Xenopus tropicalis: one gene and its partner. The protein of the gene in region 1 purifies or fractionates together with the protein of each later gene. This does not show direct contact. Links are inferred from orthologs where the notes say so. Each region holds a gene or a part of one and is shown on either strand. Other genes may lie near its edges.

Region 1 (7,865 bases):
CTGGATGGGCCCAGTGAGATCAGTAGGTGAATACTTTTTTTTACTGTTTTGTCCTTAGAGCTACAGCTGGGTGACTATAATGAACATATAGTTATATGTTATTTTGTTTCATAAGGACACCAAATAAGTAACCTCTAATCTAGACTGATCTTTGGATCAGTGGTGCACCTAAAAGTTCCCATCCCCCCTGTAAATATATTTTGGAGCTCCCCTACACAACATGTTTTCCTTGCTAGGCTCCTGGGCCCTACTGCCACAGGGTCTGCTTACACACAGTTACATCATAGCTTTAGCAGTAAACTTTTATAGAAAAGGCACTCTAATACTATTTTGCATTCTGTAACCATTGTTTGATGTAATATTATTGTACAGTGATGCGTACTTTGTTTGCACTACAATAATAATTGATGATGAAGTAAATCTTCCGTCTTAAATTAATTTTCTAATCATAGGATTTAAAGAAATAGTTTAGTGTAAAAATGCTGTGCAAAATAAAAAATGTTTTCAATATAGTTAGTAAGCCAAAAATGTAATCTATAAAGGCAGTAACCAATCAGTGACTTGAGGGGGAGGGGCATATGGGATATAACTGTTCAGTCAGTTTGCTTTTGAATCTGACCTGCATGCTCATAAACTAACTGAGCAATTATGTCCCATATGCCCCTCCCCCTCAAGTCGCTGACTAACTAAGAGGTTAGAGAGCTGAAAGCAGGAAGTAGTGTTCTGGCTGTTACATTAGACATCTGCTCTCTCCAGCCTTTATAGATTACATTGTTGCCTAACCAGCTATATTAGAAATAGTTTTTATTTCGCACAGCCTATCTATTTTCCCGGTTTTATTCTTGCACTCAACTGTTCCTTTAAGAATAACACCAAATAAATATCTGTCCACATGACAAACTAAACTGACCAATAATTTAAATTTACCAGATAATGTGAAAACACATTGATATTTCTAGTAATTCCAGCAAGAAGGGTTATTATTATTAGTATTATAATTAACATGTATTTATTAGGCACCGACATATTCTGCAGCCAGGTTCAATAAATGTCTATATACACTGAGCATACATAATTACATTCAAATCTACCAATAACTGATATAAGAGATAAAGAGATTCCTGCCCAAAAGAGCTTACAAAGAGTGCTGAAGAACATGCTGGCTTCAATAAATGCAGCCCAGTAATGTGCAAGTGTTCCTGGATAACATTAAAATAATCTGCATATTCAGATCTGAGAACAGAATTGCATTGGACACCTCAGTTATTAAGCACTTTAAGTCACATGACATTAAGGATACAGATTTGTTTCCCAAAAATCCACTTCCTCCAAACCTTGCAAAAAAAAAAAGTAAATAAAAATCCCAACTACAATCCTGAATCTAGTGAATCCCTGTTATTATTGTTATATGGGTTTTGGCACATATTTTCAATAAAAACTAACTGAATGATTTATGTATTTAAAACCTATGACTCTAAATCATTTCTTTATACATAAATGAGGATTGTGGACATGGGCAGAGCCTCCGAGTTGAAATGGGATTGTTTCTGCAGTGCAAAATAGTTCATCTTGCCAATAACACTTGCTTGTTCTGAGCCGTCAGCTTAATTTCCTTATTTCAATGTGGATCTATACTCTTTCCCAACATCTTTGGTCTTAGAATTAGCAAGTGCCCTATACTTTGAATTGTGACATTCCATTGTGCTGCATGACACATACCAGTGAGAATATTAAAACAGAAAAGGGAAATTAAATTCCACAGCTGGAACATTACTGATGCCTCTGATATTGATAAAACAAAGCCCATTTCCTGCTCAAATGTTCAACTTACCCTGAATAAAGCTTATCTAAAATCTCCCAACCAAATGTCACCTTCTCACATGAAATCCATAGGAATGAAATGTCACAGACCTATGCAATACATCATGCTATGGAACCTTATTCACTGCCTGGAGTAACTTTAACAGCAAAAATAACTATAAATCCCGAATGTCACTACAGCCAGATATAAGTGTACATAAATGCTGAACAATGTAATTATTGTAACTTAAAATATTTCTCCAAGGAATAAGGGAATCACACTGCAAATATGTATTACAATGTGTCGAGATATAAACCCATTTTCCAGAATACTGAAGCACAATCTGTACTCTGTAAGGTTTACAAGGCCTTAAACCTGTGCCCAGCCAAAATCACACCATCTGTCTGATCACTCTCTATACAACCTTACCAGAAAATGCACTTAAACTAATAATAAGACTTTTAGAGGGTGATTTATTTATTTTAATTAAGAAATAAAGCAATTCTAAAAGTCATTGGAATAGTAATTGGTTCCGAAAGGCACCTACTGCATCTTGTGGCAAGGGCTGAGCCTTAGACTCAATGCGTTTTCCCATGTACTGTGCTGCAGTCAGGAGTAAAGGAGTTCATTCATTCCTTGTTTGGGAAAAATCTGGGGTTAGTGGGTTAGTTATGTGCCTTTCCATTGAGAAATGTGTGTAAAATTTGCTTTTTTTTCGGTTATTAATTATTGAAAAATTCAGGTGGCAAAGATTTGTCTGATTGGGGTTGTGGGTTTTTTTGAGAAACATGGATGAGATTGGTGACTTCTTAAAAAGCATTTTGCAGAGGAGATACGCCATACAAAAGGCATATAAAAGCAGGAAGACAGTCAGCACATTAGGGCTTACAGACGGTAAAACCTGGAGTCAGACTCTAAGTAATCCCTACGGCTATGCTGGCTCCAATTTAAACACCATGGACAGTAACTGCAGAGATGCAGAAACTCCACTGAACAGGGCACAGGGCAAGAGCTACAGACTTGAAAAAAAAAAACAAAAGAGAAAACGGAGAGTGAAACATGGAAATGGAAGGGGTGTACAGAGACATAGGGGTGGGTGGAAAGGCAATTGCAAATAAACAGCCATAAAGGAAAAATAGTTGTAACAAATATCCAGAGTTAGCAAAACAATAAAGCAGATGATGCAGGGAATGAATGTTCCAAGGAGCACCACTCCCCTCACCTTATTGTTACTATGAGATACAAAGAGATCCTTTAATGCCAAATATGCCCACCCACACAAAGTAGGCAGTTAGCCTTGAAGACCACCGCCCCTTAAAATCAGAGACAGTGTCTATTTCATGGAATGCCCAGGAGCTTATTAGAGGTACAATGTGCCTGATATAAAGGCTAGGAAAGTAATAGGAGGCAAAGAGAATGTAGATAAATAAATATAAAGCTTACACACTTGCATTTGCTGATAGAGTAGAGCAGAGAAGGAATGGAGAGGAGAGAGGGTCAGGCAGCTAAAGAGATTGAGGATCTCCCTCCAGCTACTAGTAAATAGTATTATGCAACAAAGATCTGCACCATCTGTGCTACTGTTGCCAGGAGTCTTCATTTTAGCTTTTACACACTGTCTCACACAGCAGCAGCATTTGGGTTATTGTATGCAATCACAACCAACCCCCCACCACACCACCCCCAGCACACACACACAAAGTCACAGGCACTTTTATACACTGCCCTGTAGCCCCTGGTACCAGTGGGCAGTATTCATGGAAGCACTGCGGGCACCCCAAGCACATGGAAGAGCTGAGCAGGCTGGGTATCAGTGTGGGGCTGGAAGGGTAATTTCAGGCACTTCTGGGGGGAGGGGTTTTACCCCCACAGCATGGAGTACCCAATATATAAATGTAAAGGCCACATAAAAGGCAATATTAGCATCTCAATCCAGACAGACATTACAAAAGGGACAAGTTGACATAAATTGTTTCATGTCTCTGTGGGGAAGAAGGACAGTAGCCCCTTGTTCATTGTTGTCTCTCCCTGTACACTGAATGCCCCGTACCCCCTACTAATACTAATACTAACGGTTGCCCTTAGCCCTAGTGCCTTATCCGCAGGCAGAGGGGACCGGGGAACAAGCGCATCCCAGCGCCACCTGCCATGAGCGGGAGAGCCAAGAGGGACAGGGGCAGCGAGAGACCTCAGGCGAACCCGCTCCCTGGCATCGCCGGTACCAAGCGGCCGTGTCTAGGGGGGGGGAGTGTGCCAGGCCGGGCTAGCGGCAGGGGGGAGTGTGCCAGGCCGGGCTAGCGGCAGGGGGGAGTGTGCCAGGCCGGGCTAGCGGCAGGGGGGAGTGTGCCAGGCCGGGCTAGCGGCAGGGGGGAGTGTGCCAGGCCGGGCTAGCGGCAGGGGGGAGTGTGCCATGCCGGGCTAGCGGCAGGTGTCTGGGAGGCGCCACTCAGGCTCCTAGGAGCAAGTGTACAAGTTACCGGCCGCTGTTGGGCCTACGGGGCGGTTTTAGGGAGGTGGGTATGAACATAGAGGCACCATAATCTCCCCCAGCACAGGGCTACATTCCTATATTGTCGGACTGCATCTCCCACCAACCCTCCACTGTCGCCGGGAAGCAGTGCAGCCGCTGCATTGGGAGTGAGGCTGGCGGTGCCCATGTTACCCAGACGCACAGAGCGCACCGTGTAGCCAAGCCCCGGGGCCGTACGGGCTTTACCTGGTGCAGCATCAGGGCCGCTAGGATGCTGAGGGCAGTCGGTAGCAGGAAGGGCTCTTTCCGGCACATGGTGCTGCTGTTAAGGGTCGGGGAGGGAGATGGCTTTGACTGTAGATGAACAACGAGGAGCCGCCGGTATAGTCCAGGCTTACAGAGGCAGCAGGGTGCCCGGGGAGCCGGGCATGGGCAGCGGGACTCGAATAACAAAACACAAAGCTCCGGGTGATTTCCAGGGGATCCTCTTGCAGTCTGCACCCACCCCACGGGAGGAGTCCCTCAAAGCTGCCGCCGCTGATGGGTATCAAGGCTGCCAACCATAGGCTATCCTCTTCCTTTTGTTTCCCAACTTATATTCCAAAGCGGGGGATAACGGGAGGCGGAATGGCAAACACCCAGAGTAGGAGACAATCCAGGGGAGCGAGAGTCGCTGCGGCAGATGCTGCAGGTAGACGGGGAGATGGAAGGGAGAGCCTTTAGTCCTTATTAGCCGCTGGTCCAGCTCCGTCTCACACACAGCACTTTCCCACTAACATCACACTCACTGGTTCCCAGTGTCTCCCCTGCTCCCTCCTCCTCCTCCTCCTCCTTCCCCGGGTGCCTCACTCACTGATAACAATGCAAGGCGCTGGCTGGATGAATCCCGGGCGGCTCTCACTTGCAGCGCCCCGCCCGCTCCTGTCACTCCTCACACACAGTTTGGTGAGGTGCCCTCAGCCTCCCTGCCTCATATACAGATTGGTGAGGTGCCCTCAGCCTCCCTGCCTCATATACAGATTGGTGAGGTGCCCTCAGCCTCCCTGCCTCATATACAGATTGGTGAGGTGCCCTCAGCCTCCCTGCCTCATATACAGATTGGTGAGGTGCCCTCAGCCTCCCTGCCTCATATACAGATTGTTGAGGTGCCCGTCAGCCTCCCTGCCTCATATACAGATTGGTGAGGTGCCCTCAGCCTCCCTGCCTCATATACAGATTGGTGAGGTGCCCGTCAGCCTCCCTGCCTCATATACAGATTGGTGAGGTGCCCCTCAGCCTCACTGCCTCACACACAGATTGGTGAGGTGCCCGTCAGCCTCCCTGCCTCACACACAGATTGGTGAGGTGCCCGTCAGCCTCCCTGCCTCACACACAGATTGGTGAGGTGCCCGTCAGCCTCCCTGCCTCACACACAGATTGGTGAGGTGCCCGTCAGCCTCCCTGCCTCACACACAGATTGGTGAGGTGCCTGTCAGCCTCCCTGCCTCATATACAGATTGGTGAGGTGCCCGTCAGCCTCCCTGCCTCATATACAGATTGGTGAGGTGCCCGTCAGCCTCCCTGCCTCATATACAGATTGGTGAGGTGCCCGTCAGCCTCCCTGCCTCATATACAGATTGGTGAGGTGCCCGTCAGCCTCACTGCCTCACACACAGATTGGTGAGGTGCCCGTCAGCCTCCCTGCCTCACACACAGATTGGTGAGGTGCCCGTCAGCCTCCCTGCCTCACACACAGATTGGTGAGGTGCCTGTCAGCCTCCCTGCCTCACACACATGCATGGCTGCACTTACACCGACGCTTGCTCGCTTTCTTATGGACTTTCCTTCATTTGTCTGTGCAGCAATACACCTACAGTGCTACACAATAATAATAATATACTGACTACCTGCTTTTCCTAATCCTTTCCTAACCATGTTTATTAAAATATTGCATTTTCTGGCATACCCTAAAGGCTAAAGTTCACCAAACTTATTCAGGGCCCCAGCTGTGCGTTGAACCTAAGTGCATGAACTTTAGCTTATAGGGTATGCATGGAAATGGAAATTTTTGGAACTAAATTGGGTTGGTAACCCAGGAATCCTTCTGCTTTGCATACAAATAAGGAGAAGGTCTCCAGACATGATTTTAAATTTCAGAAGATCCTTACTCATTTACTATTATAGGTGCTAAATTGTACCAGCACAGTTCCCTATAGCAACCAATCAGAAATTAATTTGACAAGTTAGAAAATAAATAGCTGATCTGATTGGTTGCTATGGGGAAATGCAGTGGTGCACTTTTTTCTATAATTTCTTTTTATTGGTTCTACAAACACCCACATTTTGCACAGAATAACATGGGCAACTGGGAACTACAGCAACACCAATATGCAAAGCATGTCCATATCTCTTTAACTAACTCTCTCTTTATTCACATATTTCTTTCAACTTCTGTATCTGGGTCTGTGCATTGCCTGCTTAAGACTGTGTTTGCTATCATATACTTTATGGAGATTATATAACAAAGAGGTGCAAAGTTTTTGAAGCCTATAGCAGCCAATCAGTAATAGCATTTACTGATTAAAAGCAAATATTGGATTGGTTCCTATGAGCAAAGGCTACTTACTATGTTTTGTCTTAGGGCTCTGGCACACGGGGAAGATTAGTCGCCCGCGATTAACTCCCTGTTCGCGGGCGACTAATCTCCCCGAGTTGCCTAGCCCTGCCATCCCACCGGCGAACATGTAAGTCGCCGGCGGGATGGCAGACGCGGCGGGGCGATTTCCGGAAGTCGCTGAAAAAGACTCGCGAGTCTTTTTCGGCGATTTGCGCGAAATCGCGCCGCCGCATCTGCCATCCCGCCGGCGACTTACATGTTCGCCGGTGGGATGGCAGGGCTAGGCAACTCGGGGAGATTAGTCGCCCGCGAACAGGGAGTTAATCGCGGGCGACTAATCTTCCCCGTGTGCCAGAGCCCTTAAAGCACAGAATGCTATAAGTTACTGAGTAATATTTAATGCTATTGTAAAAGAAGCCCAGAAGTGCAGACCCTCCCTAGTATCAATACAGTACAGAGCTGCAAATGTAAATAATACTGCACTCAAATTTAAAATACAAAATTCTTTATTATGACATGATTATCATCTCTGATAGCGAAGAGGACATTCCTAAAACCTTTTTTTTCCTGTAATCTGCAAGGATGTCCCCCTGTCACCTTCAAAGACCTAAGGGGTATTTATCATGCACAAAGTGCAAAAAGCAGGCATGAGCCTTCATTTTATTTGCACTTTGCACCCTGTCCTGTGGGTGAGTGCCCAGAGGTGCAAAGACCTGTGCAGGCCTGGGATTCAATACAGGGCCTGGCATTTCAACTACACAGAGGCTCAAACAGTCCCTACCAGCCCAATAAATAGTGGCTGTCTATGGCATCTTACAGCAGCCCCTCTTGCATTTGCCAGAATCCACAGATTGCTAGTTCAGGCCTTGACCTGGTAAGCAGGACTCATGTGGCCATGATGTAATCTATACTGATTTCTTGAAGAAGTGGTAAACCTGTTTACAAAAATAGATGTACAAAATAGTGTAACCAGAATGATAAGTGAAAAAGTCACTATG
Region 2 (7,741 bases), on another chromosome or scaffold:
TAATTTGGTCCCTAGCAACCATAAAGCCACTAAAACTGTAAACTGGAGATTTGCTAAATATAAAGCTACATAATTCAAAAACCACAAATAAAAAATGAAGACCAAGGGCTGAAAGTTTAATTCAAAGGTGAACAACCCTTTTGAATCTCATACTGTGAAATGCACCTTAATTTTTCCAGTGAGATTATCTAGGAACACCCATTTGCTTATGGATTCTTACAACACATCTCTATCCAGGCTGGTAGCGTCTCTGCCTCACCCAAGGCCCGGCCCTTGTCTGACTGCCTTCTAGCTGGAAGCTTTCCCATGCCATAGTCTGGGTGTAAGCACCACATGGAGCATTAACATGAGTAACAGCTTTATTGCCTGGGTTCCATAGAATGCACGTAACGTTAATGGCACCAACACTGCTGTAAACTCTGTATAATAAACACTATATTGCCTTAATTTAATGCAATAAAACAATATTGCACTAGTGAGCTCCAGTGGTGCCAAGATGCCAATTCCACCTCTCATATAATGTGACTTGTAAGGTAGGGGAATCACAGAAGTGTGCAAGGCACTGTGGGAAATGGAGTCTTAGCTGGAGGAGAGCAAGGGGGAAATTGGAGGGTGATAGGGGCTGAAGAATAAAGGGCTGAGGGGAATATGCAAGGCACTGTGGGAAATGGAGTCTCGGCTGGAGGAGAGCAAGGGGGAATTGGAGGGTGATAGGGGCTGAGGGGAATGTGCAAGGCACTGTGGGAAATGTAGTCTTAGCTGGAGGAGAGCAAGGGGGAAACTGGAGGGTGATAGGGGCTCAGGGGAATGTGCAAGGCACTGTGGGAAATGTAGTCTTAGTTGGAGGAGAGCAAGGGGGGAAATTGGAGGGTGATAGAGGCTGAAGAATCAAGGGGTAAGGGGAATATGCAAGCCATTGTGGGAAATGGAGTCTCAGCTGGAGAAGAGCTGATTTAGGGCCAAAAGCAGGGGTAGACAGGAGCAGCACATGCCTTGGGCACAGTTGGTATGGGGGGAATTGGAGGAAGAGTGGCCAAGAGCATAGGGGCAGCAGGAACGAGGGGCGGGGGGGGGGGGCATTTATACTTAAAATGATAATCTGTATTTAAAGCAAAAGGAAAACTTGATTAGGATTCCATTTCATAATACAACATGCAGGGAGGTACATTATCCGAATGATGCAAACAAGCAGTATTCTAAGAATTTGTAATGTAATTATTGCGAGCTTGTTGTACTGGAGCGCAAAACGGTTATCTAGTTGCCGTGGTTATTAAGCCTAGCAACCAGGCTGGGGACCAACTGCACAATTCCACCTATAAGATATTAAAAGATAATTTTGAGGTGAGCCTCTGGATGATTCACTGTAACACAGAATCAGTTTTCCTAAGGTGTCTCTTACGAGTGCCCCTCTGACACGAGAGGAGGATCCTCCTTACCGGTGATTGATCTCTCGCTGCCTCTGCAAAGTCACTGAACTCCATCCCCCCCCACATCCCCCCCACATCCCCGGCTGCTTTTGTCAGCACTGAAAGAATTCACACCATCCCATGAAAATTCCAAGCCTGACTCATGCACCCACCCCTCCTGACAACAGCCGCAGCATTCCTGCTGCCCCATCCACACAATATTGCCCCCCTTATTAGTCACTACCTGTATCACCTGCTTTCCCACACCCAGGTTTTATTTCCCCTTTCCTTCTTAAGTTACTGATGCTGAACTGCGACATTCAGTGATCTTGGGACAGAGATCAGTTATAGTTATATACAGAACACCCCCAGATAAGGGCAACCCTAGCATTAACATACACCCCCCCCCCACCCATTGGAGGTCTAGAAAACCTCCCAGAATTCCTCTCCCAGATTCTTTCAATCACCTAAAGCAACTGTTAATCTTTTGGGCTCAATGTGCCGCTGTCTCCTCTGGCAGCGAGAAGGGAAAACACAAAGCCCGTGGCCATGAATCATTTCAAATGATGGGCTCACTCCTGGCACTGTCCTTAGAATGCCTGGCACAGTGACGGAGCGAAAGCTTTATATGTGGGCGGGGGCACTATCTACTAAATAAAGCGCACAAAGTCCACTACTGTAAAAAGCCAAACACTGATATATGTGACTTTGTTAAAGTGACGGCAATGGAAAAGCCCATTAACTGAGACAATATTTGTCGAAAACGTAACTTCCTCCTAAGTGAACGCAACCCCTAGAACTCCCATAAAAACGCACAAATGAAATGACAATGTATCAAAATGTTACGTACATGTATTCTGTAATTCTGCTTTGTGGGTCGATGCTTTACGCCGCCCAAATTACAGATATTTAATGACTTGATCTGCTTGGCCAGAAGCAACATTTGTGCTGTGTGTGTCTGTGACTGGGGGCCACAATGGATCGGAGAATGTCGTTTCCCCCTCAGGGAAGAGTCTGTGCTGTGTAACGCCACTCCCTCACTACATACTGGGATGTCAGGTCGTGGGGAGGGGGGAGGTCACATTGTGTATTGTCATACCGCTGTTTGGTGGGGCAGGGGTGGGTTGCCTGCGTCTGCACAATAGATTTTGTATTTATATACAGTATAAGGTTAGTTACTAAATATTCCATTATAGGGTTAAGCCAATATAAACCCCCCTCCCAATTATGACCAAGTTGGACCTACTCAAAGGATATCTGCGCGAAAGTCAGCTACATGTGGTCGGTAAATCCAGTCGGGCAAGGACCCTTCTCAGCTTGAAACCCAGTAGTTGCCAGTTGGGTCTATCAGACCAGTTTGGGTGGCTTAATGGGGTAATTCTCCGCTTATTTAGCAACCTCACCAAACGAGTAGATCTTGCGGTGGGTGTATGGGCAGCTCTACAGTGTATGGATAAAGGATTACTGCTAGATAAACAGGTTATGCTAACGAGGGCAGAATCCAATGGCCATATATTGTTACACTACAATTCCCATGATGCACCAACAGCCTTCAGCTGGCAGCTGTAGCGAAAAGCACAGTACATGCTTTATCCGCCGTAGTAGCAAGTCCAACCTGCTCTCCCATAGGCATTAATAGAAGAAATCATCACTTGCTATGAAGGCTGGAATAATGACACAATGTAGCAATACACAGGAACAGAGCAGCACAACAGGAGGTATTTAAGAAACAACAACAAACATTCAGACAGAGAGAGAGACTTTCCCTCCATGGGATCAGTGTGGATGGGTGTAGCCAGTATATACATTTGCCTGGGGTAAATACAAAGGTAACACATGAGGTGATAGGGGAAGGGTGAGAAGAGCAAGCACAGGAGGGGTTAAATGAGCAGGTGTTACACCAGTGAAGGGGTTACAACAAGGAGAGAAAGGGTTAACCCATAGATAAGGAACAGGCTGAAATATAAGGGGAAACTGAGAATATTATTTTTTTTTTTTAGGGACTAATAGTGATGGGCAGCAAGCAGTGAGGCATATGGACTATCCCAAGCTATCATTTACAGCAGGTTAGCTGCCATAGAATACTGAGAGTTGCAGTTCAGCAGCAGCAAGGCATATGGACTATCCCAAGCTATCATTTACAGCAGGTTAGCTGCCATAGAATGCTGAGAGTTGCAGTTCAGCAGCAGTGAGGCAATGGACTATACCCAGTTATCATTTGTAGCAGGTTAGCTGCCATAGAATGCTGAGAGTTGCAGTTCAGCAGCAGCAAGCAGTAAGGCATATGGACTATCCCAAGCTATCATTTCTAGCAGGTTAGCTGCCATAGAATGCCGAGAGTTGCAGTTCAGCAGCAGTGAGGCAATGGACTATACCCAGCTATCATTTCTAGCAGGTTAGCTGCCATAGAATTCTGAGAGTTGCAGTTCAGCAGCAGTGAGGCAATGGACTATACCCAGCTATCATTTCTAGCAGGTTAGCTGCCATAGAATTCTGAGAGTTGCAGTTCAGCAGCAGTGAGGCAATGGACTATACCCAGCTATCATTTCTAGCAGGTTAGCTGCCATAGAATGCTGAGAGTTGCAGTTCAGCAGCAGTCAGGCATATGGACTATCCCAAGCTATCATTTCTAGCAGGGTAGCTGCCATAGAATGCTGAGAGTTGCAGTTCAGCAGCAGTCAGGCATATGGACTATCCCAAGCTATCATTTCTAGCAGGTTAGCTGCCATAGAATTCTGAGAGTTGCAGTTCAGCAGCAGTGAGGCAATGGACTATACCCAGCTATCATTTCTAGCAGGTTAGCTGCCATAGAATTCTGAGAGTTGCAGTTCAGCAGCAGTGAGGCATATGGACTATACCCAGCTATCATTTCTAGCAGGGTAGCTGCCATAGAATGCTGAGAGTTGCAGTTCAGCAGCAGTCAGGCATATGGACTATCCCAAGCTATCATTTCTAGCAGGGTAGCTGCCATAGAATACTGAGAGTTGCAGTTCAGCAGCAGCAGCTCAGAGACTAGGAAAGCTAAGCCCGAACCAACAGCCCTACAGGCTCCATAGGAGGAAAGAGAAGGCGCTTCAGGCTAGAGGCAGGGAAGGACACGCCATAGACCAAGAGATGCCAGTCTCCCCAGCCCGCCCCAGCCCACACACACAGCGATAATGGCAGCTCCTTACCCTGCGTTGTGAAGCGCTGGAAGAGGCCTCTGTATCCCCACAATTCAGTCAGGAACTCGCCCAGACCTGAACACTCCAACAACTAAGCCCTACACCGAGCTGTCAGCAGCACCCCCCACCCAACCAGCAACGCCCCGCCCCCCAGCCTGACAATAACCACTGCCCGGCCGTCTCTTGCTTTCAATTGGAAAACATGTGAATCAGTCACAACGCCCAGTCCTTCCCAAACGCCCACCCCACGAAGCCCACACTTTCCCCATTGGCTGCCTTCGCTGGCAATCATTCTTGTGTTTCACTCCATGCCTATTGTAATCTGCGATTGGGCACAAGTTGGGAAGGTGAACTCTGATTGGAGGAGTTCTATATCAATCCAAATAACGCCGTCCAATAGCTGCGGAGGGGGGCATTGCCCGCAGACACGGGTGTGACCTGTAATGCCCTCCTTTAAATGACGTTATGGGCTTCACCTGTGCAGGTGAGTCAGGCAGAAAGAGAGAGACAAGGGCAGCAGACAGGGAGGGGAGGTGTGAGCTGTAGTTTCTGTTATGGAGGTTTTTATAGGGCAACTGGTGCTGAGTAGGGGCGTATTCAGGGGCTTCTGATACGCAAGCCTTCCATTCTGTCAGGAGAACAAGAACACTACAAAGTCTCTTTATTATTAGTTCAACTCATTTCTGCTTTCCTTATTATAAGTGTTCCCTTATTGTGAGACTATACTATCTGATGGCAACTCTCCAGCTATTGGACTACAACTCCCAGCATGCCTTGACAGCCTATGTTTCCACACATTAAGAGATTCCCTTACAGTACAGCTTTGAAATAGTACATATTAGCCTCTGTACTCTGTACAGCAGGGGCCCTCAAACTCAAACAGGGGGCCAGTTCACGGTCCCTCAGACTGTTGGGGGGCTAGTCTTCAAACTACGCCTGCGTCCTCACCCCTGGCTACTACCTGTCTGCCTCGGCGTAGTCCCAGTGGGGGGCTGGGTAAATGACCTTGGGGGGCCATTGGCCTGCGGGCTGTAGTTTGAGGACCCCTGAACTACAGCTACCCATAACAGTTGATGGTGAGTGCTGGGAGTTGTAGTTTAGGCTGCTAATCGCTGCTTTTTGCTTTATATCTAGTTATGCTTAAACCATACGCTGACATCAATACAATGTCTGGTAGCTAAATGACTACATTAGGATGTAATTATGAAACAGATCAATCCCACCCCTGCCCCACCAAACAGTGGAATGACAATACACCGTGTCACCTCCCCCTCCCTACGACCTGACATCCCAGAATGTAGTGAGGGAGCGGCTCTTCCCTGGGGGGTGAGAACTAGACTCCCTGCTCCGCTGTGGCCCCATAGGGTCAGCAGTACAGTGACAAGCAACTGTATTTACCAGGGGGCACCCTACAGAACACAGGGAAGTTTCACTTGTACATAACAATGATACATTGTCCTCACTGGAGTTAAATGGGAGTTCCGGGGTTGTGTTCACTTGGGAGGAAATTATGTTTTTTAATGGGCACAAGCAAATATTGGCTTTCCAATTGCCGTCACTTTGAATGTAAAGTGAACATATAGCTCCCTACTGTAGTGGACTTTATTCACTGCATTTAGTAGATCATGCCCTTACCCCCCCTCCCCAACATACAGTGCCCGGTTAATGGGAATATTCTTTCAATGACTGTACCAGACAGTCTTCAGCCGTGTGAGAACAGTGCCCATGATTTGAAATGATTCATAGCCAATGGATTAGAGATTTTTCTTCTTGCTGCCAGAGGAGACAGCAACACATTGAGCCCAAAAGAATAAAGGGGTTGTTCACCTTTTTATTTACTTTTTTGTTTAGCACTTCAGAAGCTCTCCAGTTGCTAGGGTTCAGTTTAACCTAGCAACCAGGCAACAATCTAAAAAAGAGAGATTGGAATATTAATAGTGGAGGGCCTAAATAAATAAGGAATAAAAAGTAACAATAATGATAAAATTGTAGCCTCACAGAGCAATAGTATTTTGACTGCCAGGGTCAGTGACCCCCATTTGAAAGTTGGAAAGAGTCAGAATAATTCAAAGATGATTAAAAAAAATAAAGACCAATTAAAAAGTTGCTAAGAATAGGCCATTCTTTTATAAAGCGCCAACATATTCCGCAGCGCTGTACAATAGGTATGTGGGAGAGGAATTCTGGGAGGTTTTCCACACCACCAATGGGGGTGGGTTGTTAATTTTAGGGGATGTTCTGTATGTGACTGTAAGAGCATTGATTGTCAGTTCAGCATCAGTAACCTGCGAAGGGAAGGGGAACCAAAACCTGCTCCCAAAAAGCAGGTGAAAGAGGTAGTGACTAATAAGGGGGGATGATTTTGTCTGGATGGGGCACTATTATTACTAAAGAGTTGGCAGGAGGGGTGGGTGCCTGGAATTTTCACGGAATAGTGTGAATTATTTTAGTGCTGAGCGGAGAGGCGGTGCCTGTGCTAGTAAATTATGGATGCTCAGTTGGCCACAGGGATTCCTCCCATGATTCCTTGAGTTAAAGTTTAAACCGCTAATGTTTTTGCTCTAAGGGAAGAAAAGAGTGTACCATGGGGCATGGGGGGTACCTTTGGTTACATGGCGGCTTTCCCTGCATTCAGGGCTGACCGTAGCCAGCAGGGAGTGGGCCGGGAGTACCAGAGACTGCAACCAGAGATCAATCACTGCTAATCTGCCATTAGGAGACTGCAGAGAACTTCAGAGGATTTAAACTTTAATGATTTTCTTTAACTGAAATGATTCTGCCAGAATGCCAGCGGCTTATTGCGAGTTGCAGAACACCGTTTTAGTTTCAATTTTAGTATGTTATAGCATGGCTTAACTTTTCGGTTGGTCTTCGTTTTTATTTTTTTTATTGTTTTGAATTGTAAGTTTTATCACATGGCTTTCTATTTCATTCATATTCCTGTCTCTCTTTCAAACCACATTCTGGTTGCTAAAATGGACCCTAGCAACCAGACAGCTGTTCAGATTCCAAGCTGGAGAGCTGCAGCACGAAAAGCTAAATAATTCAAAAACTACAAGTACAGGTATGGGACCTGTTATCTAGAATGCTCTGGACCTGGGGTTTTCTGGATAAGGGATCTTTCCGTAATTTGGATCTCCATAACTTAAGTCTGCTAAAAATCATTTAAAG

What was found.
Region 2: the proteins of cdh2 (region 1) and jup purify together in Homo sapiens (co-immunoprecipitation; 4 studies listed by BioGRID and IntAct, with this or other methods). This does not show direct contact. The link is inferred for Xenopus tropicalis from reciprocal best matches to the Homo sapiens genes CDH2 and JUP.

What each region holds. Positions count from the first base shown.
Region 1 is NC_030682.2:111,091,783-111,099,647, forward strand, and holds the start of cdh2 (cadherin-2 precursor), read right to left. Parts: upstream 5,018-7,865; 5' UTR 4,587-5,017; coding exon 4,518-4,586; intron 1-4,517. UniProt on the Homo sapiens protein: Calcium-dependent cell adhesion protein; preferentially mediates homotypic cell-cell adhesion by dimerization with a CDH2 chain from another cell. Cadherins may thus contribute to the sorting of heterogeneous cell types.
Region 2 is NC_030686.2:7,364,797-7,372,537, reverse strand, and holds the start of jup (junction plakoglobin), read right to left. Parts: upstream 4,628-7,741; 5' UTR 4,580-4,627; intron 1-4,579. UniProt on the Homo sapiens protein: Common junctional plaque protein. The membrane-associated plaques are architectural elements in an important strategic position to influence the arrangement and function of both the cytoskeleton and the cells within the tissue.